Arabidopsis thaliana: one gene and its partners. The protein of the gene in region 3 interacts with the protein of the main gene of each other region in a pairwise test. Each region holds a gene or a part of one and is shown on either strand. Other genes may lie near its edges. The genes, in order: MBD1, RGL1, AXR3 and PTF1.

The links.
Region 1: the proteins of AXR3 (region 3) and MBD1 interact in binary tests that used the Arabidopsis thaliana proteins (3 or more experiments, as listed by UniProt).
Region 2: the proteins of AXR3 (region 3) and RGL1 interact in binary tests that used the Arabidopsis thaliana proteins (3 or more experiments, as listed by UniProt).
Region 4: the proteins of AXR3 (region 3) and PTF1 interact in binary tests that used the Arabidopsis thaliana proteins (3 or more experiments, as listed by UniProt).

What each region holds. Positions count from the first base shown.
Region 1 is NC_003075.7:11,945,551-11,952,863, forward strand, and holds MBD1 (methyl-CPG-binding domain 1), read right to left. Parts: upstream 3,255-7,313; 5' UTR 3,092-3,254; intron 2,970-3,091; 5' UTR 2,965-2,969; coding exon 2,845-2,964; intron 2,366-2,844; coding exon 1,871-2,365; 3' UTR 1,660-1,870; downstream 1-1,659. Other genes in the region: AT4G22740 (glycine-rich protein), read right to left, coding at 1-15; AT4G22750 (DHHC-type zinc finger protein), read right to left, coding at 3,816-3,950, 4,085-4,147, 4,252-4,337, 4,435-4,564, 4,670-4,761, 4,849-5,062, 5,597-5,785; AT4G22755 (methylsterol monooxygenase 1-3), read right to left, coding at 6,469-6,513, 6,637-6,672, 6,790-6,937, 7,129-7,313. UniProt on the Arabidopsis thaliana protein: Probable transcriptional regulator.
Region 2 is NC_003070.9:24,744,109-24,751,780, reverse strand, and holds RGL1 (RGA-like 1), read right to left. Parts: upstream 3,677-7,672; 5' UTR 3,455-3,676; coding exon 1,919-3,454; 3' UTR 1,595-1,918; downstream 1-1,594. Other genes in the region: AT1G66360 (Calcium-dependent lipid-binding (CaLB domain) family protein), read right to left, coding at 240-350. UniProt on the Arabidopsis thaliana protein: Probable transcriptional regulator that acts as a repressor of the gibberellin (GA) signaling pathway. No effect of the BOI proteins on its stability.
Region 3 is NC_003070.9:1,132,514-1,140,731, reverse strand, and holds AXR3 (AUX/IAA transcriptional regulator family protein), read right to left. Parts: upstream 4,655-8,218; 5' UTR 4,351-4,654; coding exon 4,112-4,350; intron 3,799-4,111; coding exon 3,587-3,798; intron 3,273-3,586; coding exon 3,134-3,272; intron 2,993-3,133; coding exon 2,931-2,992; intron 2,430-2,930; coding exon 2,392-2,429; 3' UTR 2,069-2,391; downstream 1-2,068. UniProt on the Arabidopsis thaliana protein: Aux/IAA proteins are short-lived transcriptional factors that function as repressors of early auxin response genes at low auxin concentrations.
Region 4 is NC_003074.8:387,685-395,482, forward strand, and holds PTF1 (plastid transcription factor 1), read left to right. Parts: upstream 1-3,035; 5' UTR 3,036-3,559; intron 3,560-3,812; 5' UTR 3,813-3,837; coding exon 3,838-4,905; 3' UTR 4,906-5,083; downstream 5,084-7,798. Other genes in the region: AT3G02160 (Bromodomain transcription factor), read left to right, coding at 6,931-7,798. UniProt on the Arabidopsis thaliana protein: Plays a pivotal role in the control of morphogenesis of shoot organs by negatively regulating the expression of boundary-specific genes such as CUC genes, probably through the induction of miRNA (e.g. miR164).

The DNA of each region.
Region 1 (7,313 bases), on a different chromosome or scaffold from region 3:
ACCACCTCCTTGCATCTTCCCTGATAAAAACTAAAGTATACAAAAACAAAAACAGAATTCATAAAACGCTATCATCAAACACAAATCTGAAATTTGCAATTCAACACAATCTCTAGCAAGATAACAATTCTCTAACTGCAAAGCAATTTCAACAGTAAATCAGGAAGATTACATGAATCGATCACAATCAAGTCACAAACAACTCAGGAACGTAAATATCATGAAGAAAAAACCAGAGACCTGAAGCGAACTAGACCTAACGAAGAACCCGAAATTGAAATTCAATCAGAAATCAAAATCAAACATTAAAATTCACCGTAATCGAATTTGAAGTTCATACCTCGAACAACGATTCGGACTCCCAACAATCTGAGAGATATTTGTTGGAATTGAGAAATTTTCTCTTAAGCCATTTTATGCAGCAAGAGAATTTAAGAATCTTCTCGAACTGTGTTTCTACAGGAGTCGCAGTTTGATTGGCTGATGGGTTAACTTCGACACCGTTTCTGTAATTTTCTCTTGCTCATTGTCTTAAACTCATGGATTTTCTTCTAAACATGGCAAAATTATAAATATTTTCTACTGTTTTTCTAAATCCATTTTATTTTATCTATTCTATAATTTATATGTTCATTAGTTGAATCGAGTTTTTTCCGTTCAAAATGAGTTTCCGCATGATTTTGTACGTTTTAAATCTTAGATTTAAGCCATATTCAAAATATCGTTAGGCAATCTAAGATGAATTCTATAAACATTAATCTTAGATTGCATATACAAAAAAAGTTACAAGTTGAACACAAACTGCATAAATTAGGAACAAAGCTCGAGAGTGATTCGAAAAATCAAACCCAAAAGTAATACGGATAATCAAGCCGCTACTCATTCGGAACCACGAAATTACAAACAAAACTTTGAACATAACTTAAAATAACCACCGAAGTTTAAGAAAAAATGCTACCACCAAACAAAATAATGTGAAAACCACACTCGCAGTCAACAGAAAGCGCGGAAAGAACAGTAGATGCAGAACTACAAAAGCTCACAAGCAGTCTTCGAGGCAAATGTAAATCGCGAAAAAGGACCCCAAATACGACGAATAACAAGAAGAAAAAATCACATATAAGAATCAAAAATTGTAGCCATGTAATCTTCATCCTAAAGAGTCTAAATTTAGAACTTTGCATGCCCACAAAAGGTTAGCCTTTACATACCAAGTAAGACCACATGAGAAAACTGCTTATTCAACTAAACCAAGGAGTAAGGACGGTGGAAGGAGCAACCTAAACTTCTAATAAACGGTAGACTCCAGATACAAACAAAAACTAATGAAACATACACAAAACCTTGAGAAAGGACTAGCTTCAAGGGCTGGTCAGAAAACCCAAGAGCGGAAACATACATAAAGTTATGTTGTGAGTCTTCTTTTTGAAAATCCCAAATATGCAATCATTGTTTAAGGCTTCTTTTCATAAAGCTCTCAGTCCCAAGAGGTTATGACCAATACTCAATGTTGAATGGGATAAATAGCCCATAAGCGAGGACTTGCACACCGCACGCTATAGCAGAGGGTGCGCTTGGAGTAGAAGAAGTTGTACACATGCTGCTTGAATATACTTTGTCGTGTTTGTTTGTACACACTGAGTGAAAACCAGAGCGATTCATGTAGTTGTGACTTGTGACATAACAAAAAGAGAAGAAAAGATAATCCTTCATTAGAAAATAAAGATCCAATCAGAGTCAAAGAGATGAGTTTAAGAAACATTCTACAGTAAGAAGTCCGACACCCTTAAAAGACTAAACCAGATAGAAACCTAAAACTGACTCCAATAACAACTTCAACACCATAAGAAGCTGGGAAGCGCTATGTAGCTCAATCAATTGTAACTTTCCTTGATGGCTTGGGGGTCCTGTCAGATAATATCCCACTAGGAACCGTCTCTTCCATCACCTTTGGGACTGTGAAATTGAAATCTCCAAGCAGTGCATACTTGTAATCCTGATTGGCATCGATGAAGGCTGCGATTTCATTACGAGACTTGAGCTTCTTCCCAGTAGGAGTTATGTAGTACGCATCCATTTTCGAGTAATCCTTTCTCAGAATTAAGCTCCTTTTGAACCCTCTTGGTGTCCTCGGCAAGCCAGGCTTGTCGATGACCCATGTTCTGGAGGAATCATAGTTTAGATCTCCAACATCTTCACAGGACACACCTTCTTTCGTCTTGCAAAAAAACGGGTCCTCTTGTACTCTACTTCTGATATCTTCATACTCATCTTGAGTATCAATCTTCCTCCACTTCATGCACTTCTCACACTGCACAGCAAAGACATCTATCGACCTCCCTGGAGTACCGGCTTTTTTCTGCACCTGCACAATACAAATATGGAATCTCGGTGAAAAGAAGAACAGTCACTCACAAGCTACTTGGATCAACAGAATCATACTACAAATCGTTTAATATATAGCAAGATGAGAAAACATGCGTAGAGAAACACAAAAGTCAAAACAGGGACACCACCAAAAGAGTGATACTGAGAACATGCAGAATCAAAAACCAAATTTGAAGAAAAGGGTCACTGCGAAACCTTAAATAGCATAAATATTGATTAAATTTTATACATAACTGATCAGCCAAAGACACAACGAGAAATAAAGTTATAACCTTTATGTCTGCATCAGTTCGTCAAATAACACTAGTAACTAAGTCTTCGAAACTGGTTGAAAAAAAACCTTAAGATTCTCAACTAAAACCCTAATTAAGAGATAGAATTCAATGATAAGATCTGTGTGGTAAAGAGAGACCACAAAGCAAAATTGAAACCGGGTTTAGGTTTAGTGAGGTTTACCTTAATGGTTGTTGGTTCAGCTGATTTCTCAGTCTGCTCCTCAATCTTACTTCCAGATGAAGCAACTGATGAGTTTTCCGATCGAGACTTCTTCAAGTTCATTGCCGGAAATGGTAACATTAAACCTTCAATTTCAAGCCCTAAACGATCAGTATAACGAAGCGAGAGAAAACTCCAAAATTGCGAAATTCAAGTACGAAATCGAATCAAAGAGCAGATTCAAGGAGAGTGATCCAAAAGTTCATACCTCGAACAACGATTCAGATTTCCAAAAATCTCAGAGCTCTTTGTTAGAGAATTTGAGAATTTTTCTTTGAACCCTTTTTAATGCAATGTTTTTTTTTGGCCAGCAGAAGAAGAAAAAATCTTCTCCAACTGTATTTACAGATGTCGAGATATGATTGGTTCAATGCGACACGCAGACCATTTCTGTAATTTTTAATGGATTTTCTACTAAACAGGGCATAATAATTAATTAAATTTCCAAGTGTTTGTTAAATGGTTGACTCTGGATTTTAAATATGTACATATTTGGCCAAAATTATATAGACCAGAAATTTAGTTTTTAAAAAAAATTATTTTAGTAAAAGTATTACATTATAAAATAACAATAAAACAAAAAAGGACAAAAATAATTATTTTTGATTCGATCAAAAACATACAGAAAGTATGTGGTACGTCAAATCTTTGATAGTTACAGTACATCATTCACGTGTCGTGATTTTTTTATTTTTTATGATAAATAACATGTTATTATTATCAATAGTGAAAAAATGAAAATGGTATATTTAAGCAAATGTGAAAATGGTATATTTAAGAAGTTTGAGAAATTTCTTTTCACGAAATAAAAAGATACAAATTCCACAATAGGCACTAATCTTTATAATACACAAGACAATGTTTGATATAATATTTGATTGATACATACACAAAGCAGAAGACACACTTCCAAAAATTTCAAGTTTGTAAGGTCATAGAGACTGAAGCGGCTCTGTCTCGGACTCCGACCTGCTCGTAAAGTCTAACCCTCCAAGTGCTGGCAACTTCTTCTTATCGTCTTCCGTGTACAATGGCACGAACCAATACATTTTATCACTTCCAAAAACCTGATTCAACAAAGGAATAGAGACCAAACTTTTTAAAGCTTTCATTGTGTTCGATGTCAAAGATATTATCTAAGTAGCGGGGAAACGAATCAGTCACTGAAGAACGAGTGAAACAAAGAAGATGGAGAGCGAACCTGTTCAAAGTTTGTCTTACGACCAACGTTGTATGGCCAGTTCACTGTATGCTTCTCATACGCCTGAGATTAAAGAAACCATTAGTTTGGTCAGTGAGTTTATTGACATGGAGATTCCTGAGAGAACCCAAGTTAAGAGCAAAACCAAGTGAGAGTTGTTGCTTTACCTCAATAGTTGTGGTGTTACGAGCGACCAACATTATGTGCATTATTAGGAAGCCTAGGACACTTAGGGCAAATGCTATGTTCAATACTGGAAAGCAAGAGAGTGAAGTTTTTGAATCAGATGGTAACGTTAAGGTGTTCTGAAACAAAAACGGAAACTGAGATTTCTATATCTTTGAACTCACCAAATGCAACAAAGCTGGCTGCTAGGCTTCCTGGTGATACGGTTATATCACCATCTCCATCGCTGAAGAATACGAGGAAAATTGGCAATAGTGATACTGCAACCACCGTTGTCTCAAGAAATGTGTAAAACTGCATTTTTGAGATATTGGGAATGGATTATGATCATGGCAACATTAATGAACAGAACATATCAAAAACAACTTCGTTCAGCGATGCTATGATAAGTTGACATACCAAGAATAGGAGAAATGATTTGTAGTTATTTGCACCAACACAATTCACCACCCAAACACAGTGATGGTCCATCTTTAGTATGCATCTTCCACCTGAAAACCCAATATGACAACTTTTTCACTACTAAAAAACACATATACCGGATTCAAAGAAAAGAATCACTCATTGAAGAGACTTACAGACTGAACAATGGTGAGAACGAGGCGGTTTATATTGATTGCACTTTCTACAATATCTTACACCATGAGACGAGGAATCTCCAACCGAAGCTTCTCCAATCAAAGCTTGGTTTCCCTCGCTTTTCTCTATGTCTAATTCTGGCCTCCAACCCGTTGGAACACCACCAGGGTCCGTCACAACAACAGAGAAATAACTCCACAGTAGCATTATAAGCTGCAAACAAAACAACAATCATAAAAAAAATGAGTCCTTTGCTTCCTTACTCTTTCCTCTGTGAGTTCTACAATGCGAGGGAGTTCAAATGTTGATAATCTATTAAAACACACAAGAAACCAACAGCTTTAAAACTAAAAGAAACAAAGACACTCTACACTACAACCAAATCAAACCAAAAAAAAAAAGATGAATACTTGATTGCTTACTTAGCTTATACTATCCTAATTCACTATCTCATCTTGCTGTTACTTAAAATCCAACAGACACAAATGTAAATCCACACGCCAAGCTAGATTGAGCCCACTACCACAACAAAGCAACAAGCTTTGACTCAATATTATCAAAGCAAAATCAAGTTGGTGCATCTGACAGAACCCAAAAGATTACAATTCGTAAGTAACTAAAGCATAGTCCAAACCAGCGTATCATGTAATTAGCAGAGATCTAGAGGGTACCAAATGCAAAAATTTCAAAAGGGTCACAAAAAGATTAAAAATTTCAGATTGACCTAGAAGGAAGAATTGAGTTTACCAGAAAGTGGAAGAACGCTAAGACGAGAACAGATAGTAATGAATCGACACCACCGATCAGTAGAGCAGGTCCGTAATTAACGACGACAACGGCGTAGTATGTGAATCCGATGATCCCGATAACAATTAAGATCATGATCGAACCCAAGGCGCGAAGTGCTGTGCAGAACTTGAACACGTTCCACGCCATTGTCGGGGTTCTTTCAAAACACCCGGAACTTGTTTGGTCGGAGAAAAAAATGAAGCAAACCCCAAATTGAATTGAGGAATAAAGTTTATAAATTTCGATGAAATCGAGCTGACAATTTTTTTGTTTTCATGGATAATTATCCTTTTTTCTTTGTTCAAAAATTAATATATTTATTTCTGAGGCTTTTTATTATACTCTGTTAAATTTTAAGAATTATAACTTTTCTTTGTGATAATTTTAAGAATTATAATTTTTTCAGGAGAATTACAAAATGAAATTTACCCCATACGATAACTACTAATTACACGCATGGTAAATTAAATAATTCAAGTGAAGAATTTTTCTTTGAATGATTTTACGTCACATTATTACAGATTTACAGAACTACTTATAGTTTAGTCACAAACAACGTAGCATATATGATCACGCATTAAGTGTCGAAAAAAAAAAATATGATCACGCATTAATTTAATTATTTTCACAACACAACCCCCTTAACTAAAATATGGATCATTATAGTAGAAGCATAATAGTGGATTAGTAGCAATTTATTCCTCTTACCATTATTTTTCCAGACAGTTTTTTTTACATGAACAAAAAAAAACGTTTTTTCCATATTGTTACTTACTCCCACTTCTCCAATCAAACCCTTATCTTATCAATGAATTGAAAATTTTAACAGGCTAATCGTGTTTCCTTACTCTCTTCTCTTCAGCTTCCTCTTTAATCTACAACATATAAGATAAACCACAAAAACAAAAGTAAGATGTAGATAATGTCACACATGACAGATATATATATATATGAAGTTATTAAGCTAACATTGATAATGTGAAGTTTAAAATATTAACCTGATGATGAAGAAGCTTCTTATGGATTCGATAGCCCTAATGACAGAAAACAATATAACAACAACGTCAACACTGGTCAATATTCTATAATACGTAATTAGTTTAAAACGCTAACGGACAAAGTAATATGATTGAAGTTTGATCAAAACTCACTTTATCAGTTCCATAAATGTAATCGCAGTAAGTGAAAACCGAAGCAAAGTTGCTCTGGCTTTGTCCTCCAACGTAGTGATGGTAGTCATGATACTCAGGTCCACCGTAAAATGGAATTAATTTTGTCACACTCCATGGAAAATCATATCTGCAAACAAAATAAGTAAACAAGTGCATCTACAAACAATATGTAACTATTTATGTCTATGTTTGCATATTACTAAATTCTTTTTTTGTGTTTAGCGTTTGAATTTTCGAATGATATCACTAAACACTCAATCTTTCTTTTACAAACGCTAAACAGGATAATGATTTTAAGTTTGTTTAGTGTAGTTTTACCCGCTGTGGGTCTCAATCGCCTCGAATTGTCGTAAAGATATCCATAACCAAAACGTCATTATATGGCCAGGAGCAATTGCCGGTCCAAGAAACGTCGGAATCCCAAGAATCAAAATCTCGGCCCAATGCGCATACGGCGATGCGTATCCGATAGGTGATGTGTACTCATGATGGATTCGATGAAT
Region 2 (7,672 bases), about 24 Mb from region 3:
AAATCTATAAAAAGACATATTATACTTCTCTCATTCAATAACTACATCAGAAGTAGCATAACAAAATTCATTAATCATTACCAAAGATCCATTCACAAAAGAAAGCTCAAGAAGCAATTAACCAATTACTTGACAAACTCGATCAAAAGAAAAGAAGAAAATTTTGTTTGACAAGAACAGAAGAACTCAGAAAATGTAAAGCCTAAATTGGAAAAGAAAAGATGAAAAATTGGGGTTACCTGTTTTCCCATACGGACAATGACATAAGGATCACTGCTTTGAGAATCTCTGATGGCAAGATTAACACCTCTAATCACATGAAGTCTTAGAAGACCTAACATATTCTCCATTTTCTCTCTTTCTTTAGATCGAAGGAATCTGCTTTAAAATCCGAGTAAATTTTTGGGCTTTTTCTTCACATGCAAAAATTTTATATCAATAGAAAATTTGGTGTGTAGGACAATTAATGATGAAGTGACATCTTAACCTCTGAAGTGGTTTCGGTATTAATTTTAAGGACCTCAAAAATCAGTCAAAACCAAAGAGAAAAAGTCTCGTGTTTCTTTCCTAAATGACTGGTGTCGTGTTTAAGAACATTTGTAATTACATTCCATTTCTAGATATTGCTTTCCTTAAATGGTCCGAAATATGAGCCTAAAAAATTTAAACTTGCCAAGGTCAATACCATAGAAAGCGTTATACATTGACTTCATGCATGTACTTTTGCAGCTTTTAATCGCGGCTTCGACGCGTCATTAGTTCATTAAAAGATTTTTAAAATGACTAATTAAATTATCGTAAAAAGGTAATATCATAGAATTACACACACGAGAAACTTATATTAGGAGTTGGGTTAGGCCTCAAACTTCCCTTATTGGGCTTGGGTTTGGACTTCACAATTTAATCAAACCTAGAATGCACCATTATTGAAAAGAAAATACTTTCAACGAGTAAAACAAAATTTTAAAATGGTTGTAGTGTCGAAGAATGATGATGCCCATCAAATTAAAATCTCGTTTCCAAGAACATATTCTGAGGAAGGTTTTATTACCAAAACAATTCTGGTTATACTTGGAAAATTGTTACAAAATTGTGTAAGTAAGTTATAAGAAACAACATATAAAAGTTTTAGAAAGGTAAAAGTATTTGAAAATTTGTTAAAATTTATGAGGATTTATAATAGTTTCCCAAATTTATATATTCATATAAAGTTTCTAAAGACAAATTTATGTTTTGCGTCATTACGAATTCCTGATGAACAAACCTCTCTACCGACAGAAACTTATGAACTTATGTACAGTATAATTATGTCAGCTCATGCATATTTCTTCTAAAAGTAATAAAATTGGTAGTTGTTAAATTGATTACCAACAAAATGTTACCTACGAAAATCATTTTCTTAAAATGATGTCAACATGCGATAACAGGAATGCTCATATATTATTTGGCGGTGGGTACTAATTAAATCAACGTCAAAAGAGCACAAATACATTTTAAACACACCACTGTCCTCCTTAATTAAAGAGATAATGACCCTTTAACCAATCTATTTAAAGTCCATGGTCTTAGGATTATTCTCAAAAGAACTTGACTACTGGTTCGTGTCATGAAACATTTATCCATATCTATCAGACTATCACCTTATATATATCATTATTTCATCTCTTATTCAATTTTAATTTTATCGAAAACCAAAGATGAAATAGAAAAGACCTTTTTTACCTTAATGAGAACAAGTGATAAAAAATCATTTCATTGGCCTGACCCTGACGTAATAGTCTATTTATGCGAGGTCAAAATCTCGTGACAAGTGAACAAAATTTAGAATTCATAAAATTTGGAAAACGTGGGACTTTTTTTCTTTATCAGCAATGCAATAAAGTATATAGCACATTTTCACTTTTCCCATTATTTATTTTTATTCCACACGATTGATTCGCCACGCAGATGTTGCAATAAGCGGTCGCGTTTGCCATCCAAGCAACAAACAACCTTCATTCTCTTCCACATTATACCCATCAGCCCCGGCATAAAGTGCCAACAACATGCTTGCTTGCTTATACGCGTTCGAACCGATACTAACCGGTTTAAATCCTCCTAAACCGAACCGGTTTCTCCACTGATTTAAAGTCTCATGCCTCTCTACCCGGTCTTCTCCTTCGCATGCCACAAGGTTTAGTATCTGCCGTCCTAGGAATAACTCCGACATCACTCGGTCTTGGCTTGGCGGGCCCTCGAGCGAGTCGAATAAGCTCGAATAGTAATGTAGCGATTCCGTGAACCGATCGAGAAATACGGTACCGTTATGGTTTGCTTCTTGCTCGACCACAGTCATTATATCCGGTCGGATTGATTTGATTGTCGATAAAAACTTATCGATGGAACCGGGATGAGCTAAGAGGCGATGAAGCTCGAAGACCGAGTTAACCGCCACTGATTCTAAACCGGGTCTAATGTCTAGCATTTCCGGTTTAAGATCAGACAAATTGTTTAAAGCAATGCTCTTGAATTCGAAATTGACACCAATAGTACTCGCAAGCTGACCAAGTTTCCAACCAACTTCTTGAATATCGGTTAACGAATAACCGATCCCGGTTAACCGAAAATCCGGTGGACCATTAGGACGTAAAGCAAGAGCTTGAATCAAAGCCGGCCATTGTAAACCATGGTTAAGTCCTAAATCAATAACATGAACCTTCTCCGCCGTAGCAAAAACCTCAAGTATCGCTTGATTCGCCGTAAAATGCGCAAACTTGAGATACGGACAAGACTCATAGAAATGAATCTGAAGAGTGTCCGAAAACGAAGACAACGCGACATCGTCTCGAGGGTAAATACGGTAAATCCTTCTCGCAAGCCCTTCAGCGAAGTAAGTCGCGACTTTCCTCATAGCACCAGCTTGAGAGGACGCGAGTAACCCCACGTGCTTCACGAGCGCGTCGGCTAACTTCAAATTGTTCTGTTGAACAGCTTCAGCACAAGCTAATAGCGCGTGGACTAAACGCACTCCAGTTTCTTGAGAATCCAAAACCACCACAGAGCGCGTAGAGGATAACTCCGATTCAATTCTCGTCCTCTTGCTCCGACGAGTCACGTGCTCGTCACGTGGATACACTGCAGAGCCAGGAATAGCTCTAAGATCGTACTCTGAGTCAGGCTTTTCTTGAATCCGGGTCGGGTCAAGATCCGAGAGCATGCTTTCGACCCAACCAGAGAGATCAGAAGGATTGTAATGAACAGTTTCATCAGAAAGATTCGAGATTCCATCACCAAGAACCATCTCTAACTGTTCAAGCTTGTGTGCCACGTCAGCCATGTCGGATGATCGAACTTTGTAACCTAAAACAACCAAAAGCTCGTCAACTCCGGCAGCTTCTTCTTTAATCACCGTCGTCATTGATGAACTCCCACCTTCTCCGGCGGATGATTCACGGTGGTTGTGCTCTCTCTTCATTAAAATTGATTTGCAAGATTTTGTAAGATGAGAAGAAAGAGAAGAATAAGAGAAAAGATTAGGAACACGGGAGTGTCATAATAATTGAAGAAGAAGAAAGAAAAATAAAATTCTATTTTTAAATAATGATATGATTTTTTTTTATAATGTATGATTATTATTATATAGAAAAATAAAATAACATTTGGGGTTTCGAGCTAGCTTTTAATTGGAGTATATGAAATTTAGTACCGGCAAGTTCTTAAAAGCAAGAGCAGAGCCGTGGTACAACCGCAATCTAAAGCAATTATAAAAGGAAATTTATTTACCTATTTTATTTTCCTCTTTATATAATATACAGTAAATAATAGTAGATTCCTTTCTCTTCTTTTTCTGCGAATAAATTTTAATTTTCAAAATATGCTTCTCGAGAAAATTCAGTTTGATTGATGTAAACCTGACATCATTATTTGAACGAGATATTCTATAATCTATGCTATGTCATAATTATTTTGATTAAAAACTATAACAACTTGTTTTTGATATTTGATTATTTTGTGATTTTGATTATTTGATGAAGACTAGGTGTAATATTAAATAACGGTTATGATTTGGAAGTTGTATTGTAGAGAAACATTTAGGTTAAAAGTCCAATTTCTAAAGCCAACCACCACCCTTTTTTCAACTACAAAAACATACATTTCATTTTTATAGTTTTTGGTGATTAGGAGATTTACTTTTTATGTGTTGTGTTGTGATTATTGTTCAAACTTTTATATCATCTTCATAAATGAGAATAAATAAAGAAATTCATTATGTTCATAAGAAAATATATTAAACTATAAATTTCAGGGAAATCTTGTTTAGTTTTCTGTTTTTATATTATCGGGTGATTAATCTTTAGGTGATGTAATGAATTCTATTTTTACCAATTCCTCCATTTCATATAGAATAATGTTTGAAAGTTGTTTTTTTTTTTGCATAATGATGGCATTGTACGTTTCACATTTCGAATGTAGATTTTCAAACCGTATTACTAATACAAAAATTGAATTTATATCATCGCCATTCAATTGTAGTATTATGATTGTGGTCATATTTGTATATGTTTTATTATTTTTAATTGACTAAAAACGTAATTTAGTGATTTGTGCTAGTGTGCAAGAGCTGATGTGACACCGTCGAAGTTCAAACTCATATGCATGTTGTTGTTGATACAAAAAAAAATTGGTAATCGGAAAATACATGAAATCTAGCTATTCTTGTAAGCGTCGTTGTGAAATTATCACTCGAATTCGAATCACCTTTGTAACAATAAATATTTCTTACTTTTTTTGTAGGATTGGCGCTCTTCCTCAAAGAAATGACTATCAAGTAGTGTAAGCATAAGAGATTGACAAAACAAAGCAAAAGATGTTTTATGTAAAATATTTGCATATATTTTTAGTTGCGAAAAAAAATTACAACTAACGTGCAAAAATGTCTTTTGCAAAAATAATTAAGTTGACTTAAGAACTGTCGTCAAAATAACCCAACAAGAATATATAATAATATCATTCTATATTCTTATTAGCGATATTAGTATTATATATTTTTGTGTTGTAATACGCATTTTTATTATATACTTGTGTTTTAGACATGTTCAAAAGGCGATAGATGGAGAATAAATAAAATACTGTGTGGTTACGACCATTATTAGATGTGGAGCTCTTTCGGTATGAGCTTTAAGAAAGATACATGCAATCATAAAACATTTTTAAGCTTCCCCATATGCATAACCATTTTTCATAGTTCTACAATGACCCTTTTCACATAATGCATATCCTCATTTCGAACCAAGATTGTTACTTTGATTGATTAGGTTATACTGTTAGATGTTGATGTCTAGGTCCAAATATTTTTGATAGTTTCTTTAATTTCTTTGCTATTAATAGTAGACTAGACTTGATCATTATGATAGTTAGGAGACTTTTCCTCAAAACATGTATGTAAAAATGTCTAAACAATGATAATTAAAATTAAGGTTCTATTTTAGTTTAGTAGGTTTTGTTTACTAATACTTGTTGGAAAGTATGATGATTTACAAGGATGATTAGTGCCTTGAAAGAGAAATAGTCATAATTAAGTGACTATATTCTATGACATTGTTTAATTCAACAGTTTTCATCAGTATTATTCGTTCTTTTTAATTTCGAATCGTTTGGTACCTTCGGTTATTGGTTGGTAAGAACTTAGTAGTCTACTTGCTCTTTTTATCATCACCAATACATTAAGGGAATAAACATTAATTGGTTACCCAAATAATGGGCTAAAATACTACATGCTAAACACTTTCGTCCGAGAGATTAATTCACGAGGACCTAAAGTACAATAAGAGAAAACAATAGTCCACTAAAGTGGAGCCACTCAAAGGGGTATTGCGTTATCATGATCAGCTCAGAGATCCGACTTTAGTTTCTACCATGTGAGTGCACTTGATAGAATGGTCTTCATAGCCCATATAAGAAATTCAAGAAAATGAGCAGAGTAATATTTTTGCGATGGGACTTAAATCCTAGCAATAGGGTCATAGATTCCTCCTGAAAGCATATCCAACATAACCTAGAAGTAGAGTTTACATTCCCAAGAACCGTCAACTTGGCACTTCTAGTGGTAAATCCCTTTGATCACCGAAAACGTAGAGATTTTAGAAGTCATGTGTTCGATTTGTGTTGGAAGGGGTGAGCTTTCCAAATGATGGTTTAGACCTCGCTCTAAGGGATGTACGAGATCACATACATGCCCATAACTTCCCTATATATGTCCATTTTAATTTCTTGAATTTGAATTGCAGTTTACAATCTTAAGTATTTAGCTAGACAACTTGATATTTTGAAAATTCTTATCTATTTACAAAATTTGATAATTGTGATTTGAGTCCTTGTGAAATTTTCTTACACTGCATGTAATTCTTATCTACCAATTGTTAACTATTTTTGTTGCTTTCTTTTATTCACTTACAATTTACTAATGTCTTAGGTGGTGTTATTCAATTATGGAGTTAAAGTCAATTCTTTAAGCTTTAGATTTGTTTTCCGATATTGCTTTTAAGAATATGTTTGTATGAATTTCAAAATCTCTGCAATATGTCTTGGATTTTGATTCTAATGATTTACTCATGAAACTCTAAAGAACTTTCATTTCAAATCAATTAATATACAAAGATTTTACAAGTCTTTTAGTTTTGAATAACATTGGATTTTAATGAAATATTTAAAATCTTAATTGAATAACACCAAACTTTAGAATCTATTAAGCATGATTTACAAATATGAGTTCCAATAACACTAGATTTTAAAGCTGGATTTAGAATCATTAGTTAAATAATAGTGGATTAGTGTTGGATTTCAATTCTATAAAATCCATTAACGAAAAACACCCCCTTAGTTAATTTAGAAACCATACAAAACAATCTTTTCTTTTGAGTTAATTTTGTAAACTTTTGTGTGATTGTTTTAGCTCTCATGGATTAAATACCATTGTAGTGTAATCTTTGGGTTAAAATTTGATCTATCATGTTTTATTTTTATCATGGTTTCTAAAAAAATAAAATAAAATAAAAATTCAGATTAACAAAATTCGTTTTGGAGGAATATACATTAATTGCCGATTGGATATGTGCTAATCTCCGAGTATGACGAACATAAGGGCATTTAAAAATCGCATGATTAATAGATTCTTCTTCTATTTCACATCTAAGACAAAGTCGAACTGTTGTGAATTTCCTTCATTTGTAACCAAAGATTTACCGCCAATTATACTCTTGATGCTTGTCAAATGAAATGTTTTAATATCGACGAACACGTTATTTGTATATTGGGTTAAAATGACTTATAAGTAAATAAGTAATCAATGGTTTTCAAAATAAGTGGCTAGAAACGATGCCAATATTTCAAACCATCATGTTTTTAGATATTATCCGAATGAATTAGCTGGGATGATTAATAACCTAAAATATGTACGATAATAATATCGTTAATGTGGATTCCTAAGGGGTCATGTGCATTGTCAAGATTTTGACTTAAAATAGAAAAAGGCTAGACAATGTTAAAGTGAAGTAGCCGTTGTTGTACTAAGAAGGAATTAAAGTAGTTGGATTGTTATGGTGGGGCAAAAAAGAGGCCAATAATTTCATAGCCGATTTCGGAAAAAATTAATTCAATTGGTACCAAAGAAAATATAAGTAGAAAACAAATAATT
Region 3 (8,218 bases):
TGAGTTTGGGGATTTAGGGTTTTGTTGTTTTGTAAATTGTCATTGTTTGTTTTGTGTCCCATTAAACATTGTTAATGACAAAATATGTTTTAAGACGAAAACCGGTTTAGAGGAAGAGGATTGATGTTACCCGTCTGTGAGATGATATGGTTTCGGTCTCCCAAAACTGTTCTCTTTTGGTTTTTATGAACCTTGTTAAAGGAGAAGAAAAGGTTTGAATCCATAAAGAGACAAGAACAGAGTACACAACTTTCTTCATTCAATCTGATGATTCATAGTAGCGCCGAGCAAACTCAATCAAGAGCTCAAGCTTTAAAGCCAGCATCCGAACACAAAGCCATTATTGTTTTGACAAAACACTTGTAGCCACAACCTCATTTATCGGACAAATATCTTCACTGGTAACTCATATTTCGCATTCCTTCATGTTTGGTGTTGAAAATTTCCATCACATGCATAATAAGAAAATTTCGTAAGAGGAATGCCACCACTAACCATTGAATCGTTTATAGAAAGAATCAAAACATCAACAGAGCTCCACCACAAACCCTAATTAGGAATAGACTCGGACACCAACAAAAAAAAAACAGAATCAGAAAGTTCAGGTTCGACCTACGACCCGGTTTGATATCCGGTTTACGTTATGGTTTACATATATTGTATACTTGACCCGGTTAGAAAATTCCTTACAACTTCTTCTGCTTCTTTATCTTGATAACAACTGTGCTTAGAAAAGCCACGGCCCATCATGTGTAATGAGGCCTATGGAATTTTAAATGGATTCCATTATTATGTGATAGAGAAACTATCACCCGTTTTTCTTGTTTGTTTATAGCTTTATTATTTTTAACAAAAGTTTTTCTAAAACTATAAAATATTTTTAACATATAGTTTTATATGTTGCTCCATCTATTTTTAAATAATGTATTATCTGCGATAATTTAAGTTTGGTGAAGAATCCTCTAGAGCGTCAACTTGTCAAATTAATTATTGACCCCATCAAACATCGAACATGCTTCTGCCTGATCCAAGAAATGAAGACAAATATTAAGATACTGAAATTTAAAACATTTCAACGTAACTAATTGTACAATGTTTGTGTTTACACATACATTAGTACACATATTTTCTATATATATGCATGCATGTACGTTGGAACGATACTTTCCTAAAACTTCGATTTGTTCGTTTTGGGATTCAACATCTTCTCCATGTGCTTCCCCATTTATCAATATTTACATTCTCAGTTTTCTTTATTTTATCTATATATTTTATTCTTAAACTTTTTTTTAACGTTAAACATCAAATTAAATAAGGACTGCTTAGAATAGCTCCATTATAACCAGTAAACACCATTAATCCAAAAGGGCCCTATATGTTATTATACTATATCTATTATGTCATCGATATATATATATATATATATCTATATTTTATTGCATATATATGTCTTTTACCTTCAAGTTTTACACATGTGCAATCTCTTGACAATAATAAATTACTTGTAGCTCATTTCTGAAAGTGATAAAGGATACAACGTAATTCCATATTTCTAGTGGTTTTTCATTTTTCATTATAGAGAGGATATTTGTGTATAATTATGATAACCTTGTTAATAAATTTAGTTGGTATAAAAGTTAATATTCCTAATTAATTTAATGGGAAATTAAATGATAAACAAAGGTAATGAAATGAAGAGACCCATGAATATGCACATGGCATTGCTCCCTCTCTTCCCTATGGGTCCTATTTCTCTATTTTATTTCCTCCAACCAAAGCCAATTATCACTTTAAGTACCAACAAATCAATATACCAACAAAGTGAATTTTCCCCATTTTTGTAATTATATTCATCTGATATAACATATGTATATTGTAATATTGTAATTCTAATTATACCGACTTCGAAATTATACTTGGGGAAAGTTTACTTTAGGGTCAAATACTCGATCGCTATGATCTTTAGTTTCACTTTCAAGACGAACCAAAAGAATACTGTTCTGCCTTTAGAAAATAACTGACTATTAAGAGACTGAAATTAAAGAGAAGTAATGTGAGATTAAATTTTCCATAGTGGAATAAAAATCACATATTCCTTATACGAATATACACATCTTTGGCAAAATAAATAAATAAAGACAAACATATACATAGGAATAGGATGTTCAAATTATTACACATTTTCCATTACAAATGTCTCAAATATTTAACTTAAGTTCATTACACATAATAGCATACAAACTATATCTACATACCAAATCCAGATCAAAACACAGACAATCAAAAGAAACTGAACAATGTATTTCATCGTAAGAAAAAAAAGAGCAATTAACACCAATCAATGTGTTAATCAAATATATAATCGATACCACTTATCCTTTTAATTTGACTTCAAGCTCTGCTCTTGCACTTCTCCATCGCCCTCGGAGCTGAAATATTTTTACAATTAATAAGCAAAGACATTTGACCACGGTATTTATTCTGTTAAAAGAGTATATTTTTTATTCCCTCTGTTATTTAATCTCTTTCTTTTTTTGCATTTGACAAAAGAGAATCAAATATCATGTATTATATCAATGATTTAAAAGATCAAAGCGATAAGTTTTCTTTCGACAAATTTGTTCTTTACGGTAGAAATATAATTGTGCGAAAAATAATGAACGGTTTAAGCGTTTGATGATTAGACATCATCTTAAACGATAGCATATTAAATTATTTAGGCGACCAAGTTATGCGGTTGAGGTGTACATTATAGTAAACTTTTAAGCTCTTTTGTAAGTTTTTTTTTTCTTTTTGGGGCAAATCTCTTTTGTAAGCTATTTTAACTATATTGTATACATATACACGTAAATTTTAATTTAAATGGGTAACAAACTGAAATCAAAATTTAATCAATGTGAATATAATATGCATTGGTAGAAAATACATACCGAGACCAATGGCATCCGATCCTTTCATGAGACGTAAACGCTTGCATGTATCGACGAACATTCTAATAAATAAAAAGATTAAAACAAATGGTTATTTATTAGAAACAAATAAATGACATAAACAAAAATAAAGCTCGAATTTTAACCGAAACAATAAAGCTCTAATTAAATGGTAATTAATAAGGGAGAAGAAGAAGACGTACGGCCAAGGAACGTCGCCGACGAGCATCCAATCACCGTCTTTGTCTTCATAAGAGGGAACATAGTCCCAGCTATTCACCAAATCCATCAATTTCCTCTCATTCATGAAGTCTATCATTCCTTCTTCTCCTCCATGTTTGCCTAAAATAATCTTAGGTATAAGAACTTGATATCCTGAATTTAAACTTGGTGGTTTTCTTTTATGGTGCAACAAATGAAATATACATTTTTCGCAATTGGATTTTATCACATAGTTTTCTTTTCACAGTTTCTAAACTACTACTAACGGGTTACTCAATTATGAAATATTTGTATACTCGATAACGGTAATTCATTTGGGACTGATCTATCATCATGATGATTAATTTTTCTTTCTATAGTAACAATTAATTAGTAACTAAATGTGCATGGAAGGATCTACATATATATATAAGGAATATACTTATAAAACGTACCCATGGTAAAAGAGCTGAACATGTTGGACAAAGCATTAGAAAGCTCATCGTAGCTTTTATACATCCTCAAATCGATTTTCCTCAAGTACGGTGCTCCGTCCATTGATACCTTCACGAACGCCGCCGCCTCCGGGCCACCGCTTGATTTTTGGCAGGAAACCATCACGTTCTTCCGGTATGATCTCACCGGTGGCCATCCCACAACTTGTGCCCTATATTTTTTTTAAAACGGAAAAACGGTTATGTTATACAAGATATAGACTGTAGTTAGCTTTGACGTGATGTCACATAAATTTTACTTGCATGAGACTATGGGTTAAACATAATTAAATATATTAAGACATTGGACGATTTAAGAAGAGAAAAAAACCGTAGACATATGATAAAATGGTTTTGGCGAAGAAAAATATATATCTTTAATGAAATTTCTGTTTTTTTTTGCAGTCACCTTTACAAAAATGTTAATATTAAGAGCAGTAGAGAAGAGTGGAAAATAAATCATAAAGGACAAAATAGTAAAATTACTTGGCCGGAGGTTTGGCTGGATCTTTAGGACAAGCACTCTTCTCCTTGGAATCAAAAGTCACGACGTCATGAGTCGTAGATCCTTCCTTGTTTGCAGGCTCATTATTCAGATTTAGCTTCAGATCAACCGTCTCTGAGAACCCTCTCTTGTTTCCGGTTACCGGAGCCACTGTATCTCCACCGGGAAGACCAAGACACAGCTCAGTCTCCCTCAGATTCAGCTCGACACTGCCCATCATTATTAACCTTTCTTCTTCTTTGGTGTTCTTCTTCTTGGGAAGGTGATGAGGAAGATGGAAAAATGGTTTTATAAAAACACTCAAATAATACAAAGTGAGATGAGTCTGTATTATATCTCTGTCTAGGAGGTAGCTGCATGTGTATGTCGTATTTAAGAGATCTTTGATTAAACGGGTTTTAGACACGTGGATGAATCTAAGCCCTTTGATTAAGTCATCATCCTCGAGTTTTAGTCTTTTAGACTAATCAGTAATCACTGTTATTACTCTATTACTGTTATTGAATCTTTCTTATGATTTATCTTGTAGATTATGTATATATTATTGCATTTGACTATACAAAATGGATATATATTTTAATCCGTCTTTAATCGTTTTTCTCCCGTTAAAAGAGATATATAACATTTTGAGATTACAAGCGAAAGCACAAGTGAAGGAAAGATTTTAAAATTACAAGTGAATTATGAAACACATTCGAAGCAACCAAGTGAATTAAGTGGTGATGAACCGATTAATTGATATGGGGTATCTAACTAAATATATGTATATACCATATGGTCTTAAAAACTATATCAACGTATAGTTTATAAATATATATTCTTTTGAGTGGCGAGGTCGCAGACATCTCATATGAGAGTGTTACAATAGAGATGTACATTATTATTAATATAACTATATTATGCTTTTTGACTTCTAAATATAATTATTAACTAATGAATATATATTCATGATTTTGATTATTTTTCCCCGTAAGATTCTTCGCCGGAACCTTCCAATTATGCATATCACATCCACATGATTCAATTATTCATCCCACAATAAAAGCGCAGCCCTCTTGTATATAATTATTCTCATGCCAATACAAAATAAAGCATACGGTACATCTTCAATATTTATTGATTAAAAACTCACCTATAAACACGTACAGCGAAATGTGTATCTAGACACATAAAAACGCATCATTACTCTTTAATGTTTATACTTTGTAGTTAACAAACTATAAATTGCAATATTATAAACACCACTTTGTAGTTAACAATAAAATTGGTGATTAATTTTCTTTACAGATATTTACAGATTAAATTGACTACTAAAATATAATGTCTGTTTTTGATTATTGAAAATTATTTTTCTTCTTTTATATTGCTTGTGTTATTCTTGTAGTATGAAAGTTTTCAACAATAGGGTAGTTTTTTTTTTTTTTTGTAGTTATGAAAGCACCTAAATTTGTATTACATTTTCTATTAATTTGTCTATATTATCGCATTTCTAAACAAAAAAACAAATTCTGTCGCACTTCCAAAACATATTTTGTTTTTATTTCATCAATCACGCTTCCAAAAACAAAAATGATATGTTTTGGAATTGTATTTTCACGGCGCTTTTGCGAATTTTCAAACTTTCGTTCAAAATTCGACTTTAGTGATCTACTAGACACTGGTTTTAGTTCAAAGTAATCAGTTAGGCGTAAACTGTGAATACGGGACGTTTAAATAACACCAAGCGTACTAACCATAATTAACCAACGTAAATTCAATAAATATGAAAATAAAGAGGGAAAAAGGCATATTCCTACCCTAATAAAATCTATGAGAGGGGACATGAGTGGCATCAAAATCCAAAGGAAGAGAGGGTACAATTAACATCACCATAAATTCCAAAGCCAAAATTTAAATTAATGAGAAGAAGAAAAACATGGAGATGATAAAGGGACAAGTTACATCAAATAAAATTCAGGGGCGAAAACATCTTAAACCCTACTTTTGTTCCTTGCCTTGTCTACATCCTCCTCTTTAACCCTTTTCTCTCCTTTTGTTTCTATCCCAAAAAACTCTCATGAGTTTTCAAATCAACGTACCCCAAATTTTTCAATCGAATTTTGGGTCACTTTGTCTTATATATCACATCATTTTGTCGTGTTTTATCAATGTGTATCTACTTTGTCTGATCAATATATATATCTACTGATCACTATGGAATTCACATGAAATTGTAAACCAGTGAATAATATAAATTCTCGGTCCAGCCTACATGATTACAAAAAAATGCGCCCGCACACATAAATGGATTGTATGCGAAACTTTAATGAGATTGAACCAATGCAACCAAATCCATATATCATCAGTATTCTCAAGGATACATATGGAGACCACATTTTCTTTGTCACACGATAGAGACCATCTTAATTTGATGTGTAATTTTGGTAATGCTTTTTCACTTGATTATATATATTTTTCATTTTTTGGGAAAATTATATATAGGTCTAATCATGTATTTTATATGCATGGTGTCGAAATTAATGAGTTATTTTCAAAGGTATATATGTGTGTTAATTATGAACTTGCAAGATAAGAACGTGTGAGGACCAGGTGTACTTTCATGTGGACAATACAAGGCCACAACTCTCAACATTCTACCACACAGAAAAATAAATCAATAGTACTGGTTCATTTGTGTCCATCTTCAATTTTTTTTTTATAGTTTTCTCATTTACATTAGTTGTTGGAATATACTTCTCGCATTTAAGGAATGCAGCCAAATGACATGCATTGCTGCATGCATGCAATTGAAACGATCCACAACCAAATAATAAGTTTACATTGACTAAAATGTAAAATGTGATTGTATGTGAAAGCAACAACTCTTTTGAGACTCAAACAAATTACTTTACGTCAACACTTGCTCTACAGTCTTATATATGTATATGGGTTAAAACGATCAATTGGCTAGAATTTAAAGAACCTAATAGAAAAGTATATTTCAGTTCTCCATTCTATTATTTTACTTTTGTTCGAGTCATATTTAGTTTAAAGTGTGTAATAGTCATATTTTTAAAATTTTTGATATGTACATTACTAAGTATAAGTTACATATTTACATCTATATTATGTTGCTTAGTTCTAAACACATAATATGTATTGAACTATTGAACCTTGTTCTCCACCACAAAATGGTTCATTTTTTCTGTACAACTTAAAATAATATAGAAAAGAAAGAAATCTTAGTATATATTGAAGCAATCATTTCCGCTATCATTTGTTGCATTATTTATTTCTCTGGTGAGTTTGCTTCATCTCCATTCTGACATTTTCGACCGACGATATATCATATATATACAATATTTCCTTTTAGTCGTCTTTTATTAATATTTATTTATGTAACTTTTTGTGAAGGTTAATAGTTAGTAGATTATCTCAATTCCTTTGGTTTTTTCAAGAAATCTAATTCGAAAGTAAATATGTGAAAGACACTCATTTAGCAAATGACTATAAATGGAGATGTATCTTAATCAAATGGTTAAGTCTATTTTCAGTGGAGTTTGATTCCACTGTCGCATTATCCCATATAATAAAAATTGTTTATGAATTGGAATTTGTCGATTTAAAAATATAAAAAGAAGAAGAAGAAGAAAATGACTACAAATTAACTATTCCTTGAATATAGTTTCAGAATGTACATATTCAGACAATTTGCTCATGTTCTTACACATTTCTAGCTAATGATAATTAAATGGTTTTCTTGAAGTATATATTTAAAAAGTAAAAATGCGAGAATCTGCTCTATACGCTCATGATATATTATTCTATATGTTGGCATAACTCTTAACAATATAGCCTCGTGGTGGGGGCTAACCACAGTACCGTTGCTTGGAATGTCTACTTTTTAATTAATGTTTCTAAAAGTGGTTAATTACTAGATTAATTAAACCCCCAATTTTATTAATAGACAATCTTGTAAAAAAATTAATTTGTTATCTCTGCGTTTTTGGTGATGGTCCACAGATTATTTCTATACGTGTTATGATAACTAAACAGTCTTTATTTTCTCAAAGAGATTTAATTAAGGTTTGTTCTTATTTTATTTATAT
Region 4 (7,798 bases), on a different chromosome or scaffold from region 3:
CTTTTGTTGGCCCAAGATTGTGATCCAGGATAGTAATACTAAATTAAATTCACATAGCTTTTAAAATTTATAAACAAAGATATGGTTGTAAAAAGTAATGTTTTGCTTACTGCCTATGGGGCCATCTAACACATATGTGTTGGGTTACCATCTCTAGTAGTATCTACCATATGGACTGAGCATAGGGATTGGTGTTTGGGATAGGAACAGTGCATAATAAAGGTGTAGTGTATAAGACAACAGATAGACTGATAGAGTAGTAAATTTTGTATCTCTGATTTTTCTAGTTATTGTAAGTCTTGTTCAAATTTTTACATTTTTCATATTTTAACGTGTCACTTTCCCCAAAGAAAGAAATACCAACAATTGCACTAAACTCCAATTCTATAGATATCGTACGCATGCATTTGCTGCCCAACAGTTTTTATATAGAAATCTTAATAAATTTATTTATGATTCATATTGCAGTTAATTAGTGTTGTGTATTCAACCATGTTATAATTTCTGGAAGTGAAAATTTTGCTGGGCTGTTTCTGCTTTGTTGGGTATTGAAATGATAAGAGTAATTAAAAATGTAACTATTGGGGATAATACAAGAGACGGTTAAATTGAGAGAGAAAAAGTGATAGGAAAATTAGGGGGACCATCGAGTGAATAACTCTCTTTCTCTTCTGTTTTCTTCAGTTTCTCTCTCGAGATGCCCAACCTCTTCACTCTTCATCTAGTACTCTTTAGCGAGTATATATAACAATCACATAATAAATACTTACTCTAAGTCTTAAATTTTATATATAGTTACTTTGTTTACATATAACGGACGTTCCTAGCTGTATAATTCACAATTAATAACTTACACACTAAAAAGTTGAACCTACGAAATTTTCTTAACGTAAATTTTAAAATCATTTGGCTAATTAACTAGTATATCAGATAAACTTACACATTTTCTAATGGAAATTAAATATTCTTAGTAACGCATAGTCATACTTGCGCGTTCTTCTTAATTAGTCTTTCAGAAAAAGTGTCAATATATCTTCTGGAATATTTAATATATAGTCGTATATATGACTATCGAATCTCAGAAATGTGGCTATCAATCTATCTATATGTGTATATATATATAAACGTGTTTGTAATTTTGATAAAGATCTGAAACTCAAGTGGAAGAAACTGAATTGTATACGTCTCGAAATGGCATGCGTACCCACGGTACTGTATATGTGTAGATCATTATTTGAATATCCACGTCAACCGAAATTAATGATTTGGTGTTCTATTTGCAATATTCACGTAAGCTCACGTAATTCATACGTTTTTGTTTGTCTTGCTAACTTTAGCTTCATCTCATTTATATACGCTGATATTGATTGCTATTTATCAAATATGGAGAAATGTGTTTAACTTTTAACATGATTTTTAGGATATTATTGTCGTTGATATATATATCCTTCACATCATTAATTATTATTATGGATGTGAAAATACTATAGAAAAGCTATTAAAACCCCAATCTTTGTTCATGAGACAACAAAATTCTGGAGTCGGTGAAGTAGACATGACTTAATGGATTCTAAGTTTGTCCGATTTCTCCTTTGTTCCCATGTGATGTCTTAAGATAAAATGATCATCATCACACTTTCTTTTTCTCTTACTCCTTTGTTTCGATTCATAAGGATATATTGCTTTCGTCCACTTCTAATATTCTTATATCACTTTATTTAAAAGACAATGTACAATTTAATAAAATTAATAATTTGATGAATGTTATTGATTCATATAGATATTTAAAATGTATTTGAAAAAGGGGTACAAATCTTATTGTGAATGGATAATTAATTAAGTTGCATACTTCAAAAGACAATCATGTGGATACTTTTTTATTATTAGTTTTATGGATTTGAAATTCTGAAAAATACTCGTCTCAATTATTCTTAGAACATTAAGTTTGACCTAAAAGAATGGTTTGACTAGTAATATGGGAATTATATAGGTGCCCCTTTTCACAGATGATGCATCCGAATAACAAAATCATATTACTTCTTATATCCTACCGTCCATATTAATTATATTAGATTACACATTTAAATATAATATATACATCATTAGATCTAATATAGAAAATCTTATTAAAAAAAAATCCTTATATAAAGAAAAATCACAAGGTTAACACAACCTTATCGATAAATAAAGATGTTAAAACTGATTTTTATATATGAAGCAAAAGTAAATTAGGGCTTAGTGATGTCTAGTTAAAGTACTTGTGTTTTGAAAAGGTAATGAGTCATGACTCAACAAGGTACACAAGGCGTGCATCGGGTAAACCACAACCTTTTGTAATTGTCGATATAACAGCATGCCAATATTCACATGGACCATATACTGTGTGTATATTATATATTACCATATATGTGAGTTACATTTCATATTGTAGAACCAAGGACTAAATTTAAACATAATGTACCATATTCTTTTAATTAGATTATTCATAAGATATCCAATTTAAAAGATGAGTTAAAATGATCAAGAAAACGCTACGCTGAACTCTAAAGTCTAATCTTTATCATTTATAGAAGTGTTATGAAACAAATCAATACCTGGTTAATAATTGATGTAGTTTCATTTTTTTTTTTAAGAAAAGAAAGTGATGAAGTGTTTAACTAGTCATAATATTATAGATCCAACTTCATTTCAATATATCACGAGTGCATTGGCGGCTGCAAAACATATTTTTGAAAAGAGCAAAAAAAAAAATCAAGGATCATAAATAATATAGGTCTTGGCTTTTTAATTCTACCAATAGATTTACAGTGGACAATTAAAGAAAAAAAATCACGAAATTATCATGGTTTGGCTAATTGAGATAAAATTCATACGTTTTCCATCAATAATCGTACATCATCCATTTCACAACAATAATTATTCCTAAAATGTCGTTATTTTCATAACATTGGTTAGATGTTCTAATAAGCTACTATTATATATAACTTCACGTCAATGTATGTTTGATTTTGGCATCTAAAATTTCTGTAAAATTTAGATATTCGCGTATACTTTTTTTGGGATTTTCTTCTTAGCCGTATTATAACTGCAACTCATATCACATACGTGGATGATAAAATATTCGAGTTTAATATCTCCTCCGTATGTAGATTTGATATGATCCATAATATTAAAGATGAAAATGAACTTGACTGATTATTCAGCGCATTCATTTTATTTTCCCTTCGAGGATAGCGAAATCCGCCACGTGGCATTACTACATCCATTGCTTTTTTTAACATAAATACTTAAGTCGCAATTCTTCTAAATTTTGGAGGCTTATGATATTGGTAGGGTTCTCATATTCACTTCCAAAAGCATCTTCTTCTTTCTAATTTTCTTTTTCTTTTTATCTTATTTTCATTTTATTCATATACTTTTTGAAAAGAAAAGTCGAATCACATACTTTCTTCTCTCTATTTCTCATTCTCTCTTCTTCATCATATTACTCATTTTATAGAACAGCAAAACCCTAGATTTCCTGTTCAAGCTCAAGACCGTACAAAACTTTGGAACTCATGTAAGAAACAGTACACGTTTTTTTTTTTGTTTCTTCTTCAGTCCGGATTATAAGAATTTTGTCGATTGAAGAAAACAGGCTAAATTAAACCCTAATTTTCTCTCTTAGACAATTCCTACTTTCTCTCCATTTTTCTGGATTCGCTCTCGTTTTAAAAGGATTCAGAAATTAACTATATTATTTGAATTCTTTTGCCATAATTCCCTTATGTTTTCTGCTAATGGATATACATTTGGTCTTCTTTCTGTATTAGATATAAAGATCTCGAGAATAGCATTATGAATATCGTCTCTTGGAAAGATGCAAACGACGAAGTTGCAGGCGGCGCTACGACAAGACGTGAAAGAGAAGTAAAAGAGGATCAAGAAGAAACCGAAGTCAGAGCCACCAGTGGCAAAACCGTAATTAAAAAGCAGCCTACATCGATCTCTTCTTCTTCTTCTTCGTGGATGAAATCCAAGGATCCGAGGATTGTTAGGGTTTCACGCGCCTTTGGAGGCAAAGACCGTCACAGCAAAGTGTGTACGTTACGTGGACTACGTGACAGACGCGTGAGATTATCAGTCCCAACGGCTATTCAGCTCTACGATCTTCAAGAACGGCTCGGTGTTGACCAGCCTAGCAAAGCCGTTGACTGGTTGCTTGATGCAGCTAAAGAGGAGATCGACGAGCTACCTCCGTTACCTATCTCGCCGGAAAATTTCAGCATCTTCAACCATCATCAGTCCTTCTTGAATCTTGGTCAACGGCCCGGTCAAGATCCGACCCAACTCGGGTTTAAAATCAATGGATGTGTACAAAAGTCTACTACTACTAGCCGCGAAGAAAACGATAGAGAGAAAGGAGAAAACGATGTCGTTTACACAAACAATCATCATGTTGGGTCTTATGGAACTTATCACAACCTGGAACATCATCATCATCATCACCAACATTTGAGTTTACAGGCAGATTATCATAGTCATCAACTACATAGTCTTGTCCCATTTCCATCACAAATTTTGGTATGTCCAATGACGACATCACCAACAACTACAACTATACAATCTTTGTTTCCATCATCATCGTCAGCTGGTTCAGGGACTATGGAGACATTAGATCCGAGGCAAATGGTAAGCCATTTTCAAATGCCATTAATGGGTAATTCTTCATCTTCGTCTTCCCAAAACATTTCGACATTATATTCGTTGTTACATGGTAGTAGTAGCAACAATGGTGGTAGAGACATTGATAATCGGATGTCGTCGGTCCAATTCAACCGAACTAATAGCACTACAACGGCTAACATGTCGAGGCATCTAGGCTCGGAGCGTTGTACAAGTAGAGGAAGTGATCACCATATGTGAAGTTAGATTATTGAAACGATATAATTGTTGTTTGATGTGTTCAGAAATAAGGGGACACAAAACAAAATATAAGGTAATTACTATTGTACTATGTTTTGCTGATATATTTTTTAATAGACAAATTAATGTTATAAATTGATTTATTAATTTACTATTAGCATGTGTTTTGAAACTTTCTCATGTATATATATATATATAGCTTCCTCATAGGATCTGAATACACACAAACATACATGAAATGTATTATAAGTATCTGATAGTAATGTATGCACTTTGAGATGAGAAGCTAAATTACATTCAGATTCATCAAATATTTAGCAAAAAAAAAAATCAGATTCATCAATAGGTAACGTAATAATATGAAATTGAATCTAATAATTTATACTGATCTGTTATCGAGGTATTATGTTTCTATTGGATGCACGGTACAATGCAACTATAGAACTCAATGTGACCGTAGCTAGATAGATTATTAGATGATGATATAAGTGGAGATTCCACAAAACCCAAACAAACCTAACATTACTATGTCATGTGAAGCAGATATATATTGAACCCATTATCAAATAGAAATTCATCATGAATGGTTATTATACATACAAGTGCCCATTTTAAAATCTTATTAGCATAGTAAGTAAACTATCAAGATGCAAAGAAGCCATTCCCATATAAAAATTAAGATGTGTAGCTAGGCTAAATGGTCTCGATAATAATGTGTAGTAGTGAATAGTGATCACATGCATGTTCACCAATGAAAGAGTTAGGCTAAAATGCAAATTACATATGTACATGCTATGTTAATATTTATAGTAGGAGGTAAAAAAGGAAGAATTAATAAATGAAGAAAGAAGAAAAATTAGTTAAATTATTATAGGGGTGATAGAGACAAAAGCTTCTAAATAATGTTGTGTGTACGATCTTTGATTGATTTGAGTAAAAGGCTACCGATCCAATGCTCTGTGACTCTGTCGTATATCATCATACTTTCTGCAAAAAGCTTCCATGTCGATCTCTAGCTATCATACTACATGCATATATATATATATTAATTCGAATTATCTGGTTTTACGTTCCAACCTCACAAAAATTGATAGCAAACTAAACTACGGAGGACAATAAATGACGAAATTTGAATTTATTAAGTCGCACTAAAAATTAAAAACATACTGTATCAAACAAGATTTGGTTTTGAACTTTTGATATGTTTTGTAACGTCTTTTTATTGTTGGGCCAACCACTAAGACCCATTAGTTTGAAATTCTGTTTGATAACCTGAAAGCCCATCAACGCAAATAATTGTATCCTTTCTAATTATTACATCATCGCTGTAATAATCTTAATCTTACTATATATGAAAATAAATAATTCTTTTTATAATAAAGATTAATTTAATTTCCTTAAAAATGAAAAAAATAGTAATTGCCTTTAATTTTCTTTAAAAAAACTCAGTAGTTCCTCTCTATAAAGTTAACGAAAATCTCAAACTTGGAAAATCTCCCACCCTTCTTTTTCTTCGCCTTCTCAAATTGGATCGAAAGTTTTAAACTTGGAGCTGGGTTTTTGATTCGCATGCGAAATTTCCTCAATTTCGTTTGTTGGTGCTTTCAATTTCACTTCTTCGCTAGCATTTTCTCTCACTGTGTTCGCCGCCGATAGCTGCCCAAGTTGTGTCTGTTCTTCTTCCCCGGTGAATTTTCAGTGGATAAAGCTTTTTCTCCGGTAAAGCATTTTACTTCTCTTAATTGGATTCGTTAACTCTCGCTCTCGAGTTTGCTTTGTTGCTTTCTACTGCTTTAAATTGAACCCGAAACGTCTATTCTTAGTGACCGGAACAAAATTGATCTTTCATTAAGTTCAATTCTTCGTTTTTTAGTCACTTTTGGGTTTAGTATAAAATTGATTCTGATGTTTTATTCTCTCTTATTTGTTCTTAGGTGCCTAAGAGAAGACTTTCGAGGGAAAGATATTGGCTTTTGTTTTGTGTTCTGAGAGGGATACGTGTTGTGTTGGTTTTTCACTCAAGAGATGGTTCTACATGTTATGTTGGGTGAAGTTGTAACAAAGTTTTTGAATATGAACAATGGAGTTGGGGAAGGTGGAAGTCAGCAAAGAGAATTACATGGTAAGAGAAAGCTTTTCCGAGGCAATGATTTCGCTTTTTCCATAGCGAGAATGGCAGTGGCTCAGATATGCGAGAGTGTTGAGGTTAACCCGTATCAGGAATCACAGACACGTGAGGGTGTGAGGTTTAGTTCTTTTCAAGAATCTGCTCTTGATACACTAACTGATGTTGCGGTTCAGTATATTCAGAGCATTGGGAAGACTGCTCATTTGTATGCTAACTTAGCCGGTAGAGTAGATGGTAATTCTCTGGACATTCTTCAAGCATTAGAGGATTTGGGATCTGGTTTGGGTTTTGCTGGTGTTTCTGATACTGACCATTGTCTTGCTGATTCCGGTGTAGTCAAGGATATCATTCGTTATACTGGAGAAGCAGAGGAGATACCGTTTGTTTACTCTCTTCCTCGTTTCCCATTTAGTAAAGAGAAAAAACCTGCTCCTAGTTTCTCTGAGGTTGGAGCAGAACCTCCAGATGAACACATTCCTGTTTGGCTTCCTGCATTTCCCGAAACCGAATTGTGTGATCGATCAGAGGAAACTAATGCAGCCACAATCGAAGGAGAAATTCCTAGTAAAGAAAATGGTTCATCTTTACCGAGTATGCAACTTTCTTTCGATGGTGGTGGTAGGTTAGAAATACATAAATCTTCAAAGGATGTTGGAGAATCAACAGAAGCAGTAGTCGAAGGTAACCTGTTTCTAACTGCGCCTCTTCGATTTGTGGAGAAAAATGTGTCACCTGTGGTCCGCCCTTTGGAGCTTTCAAATGAAG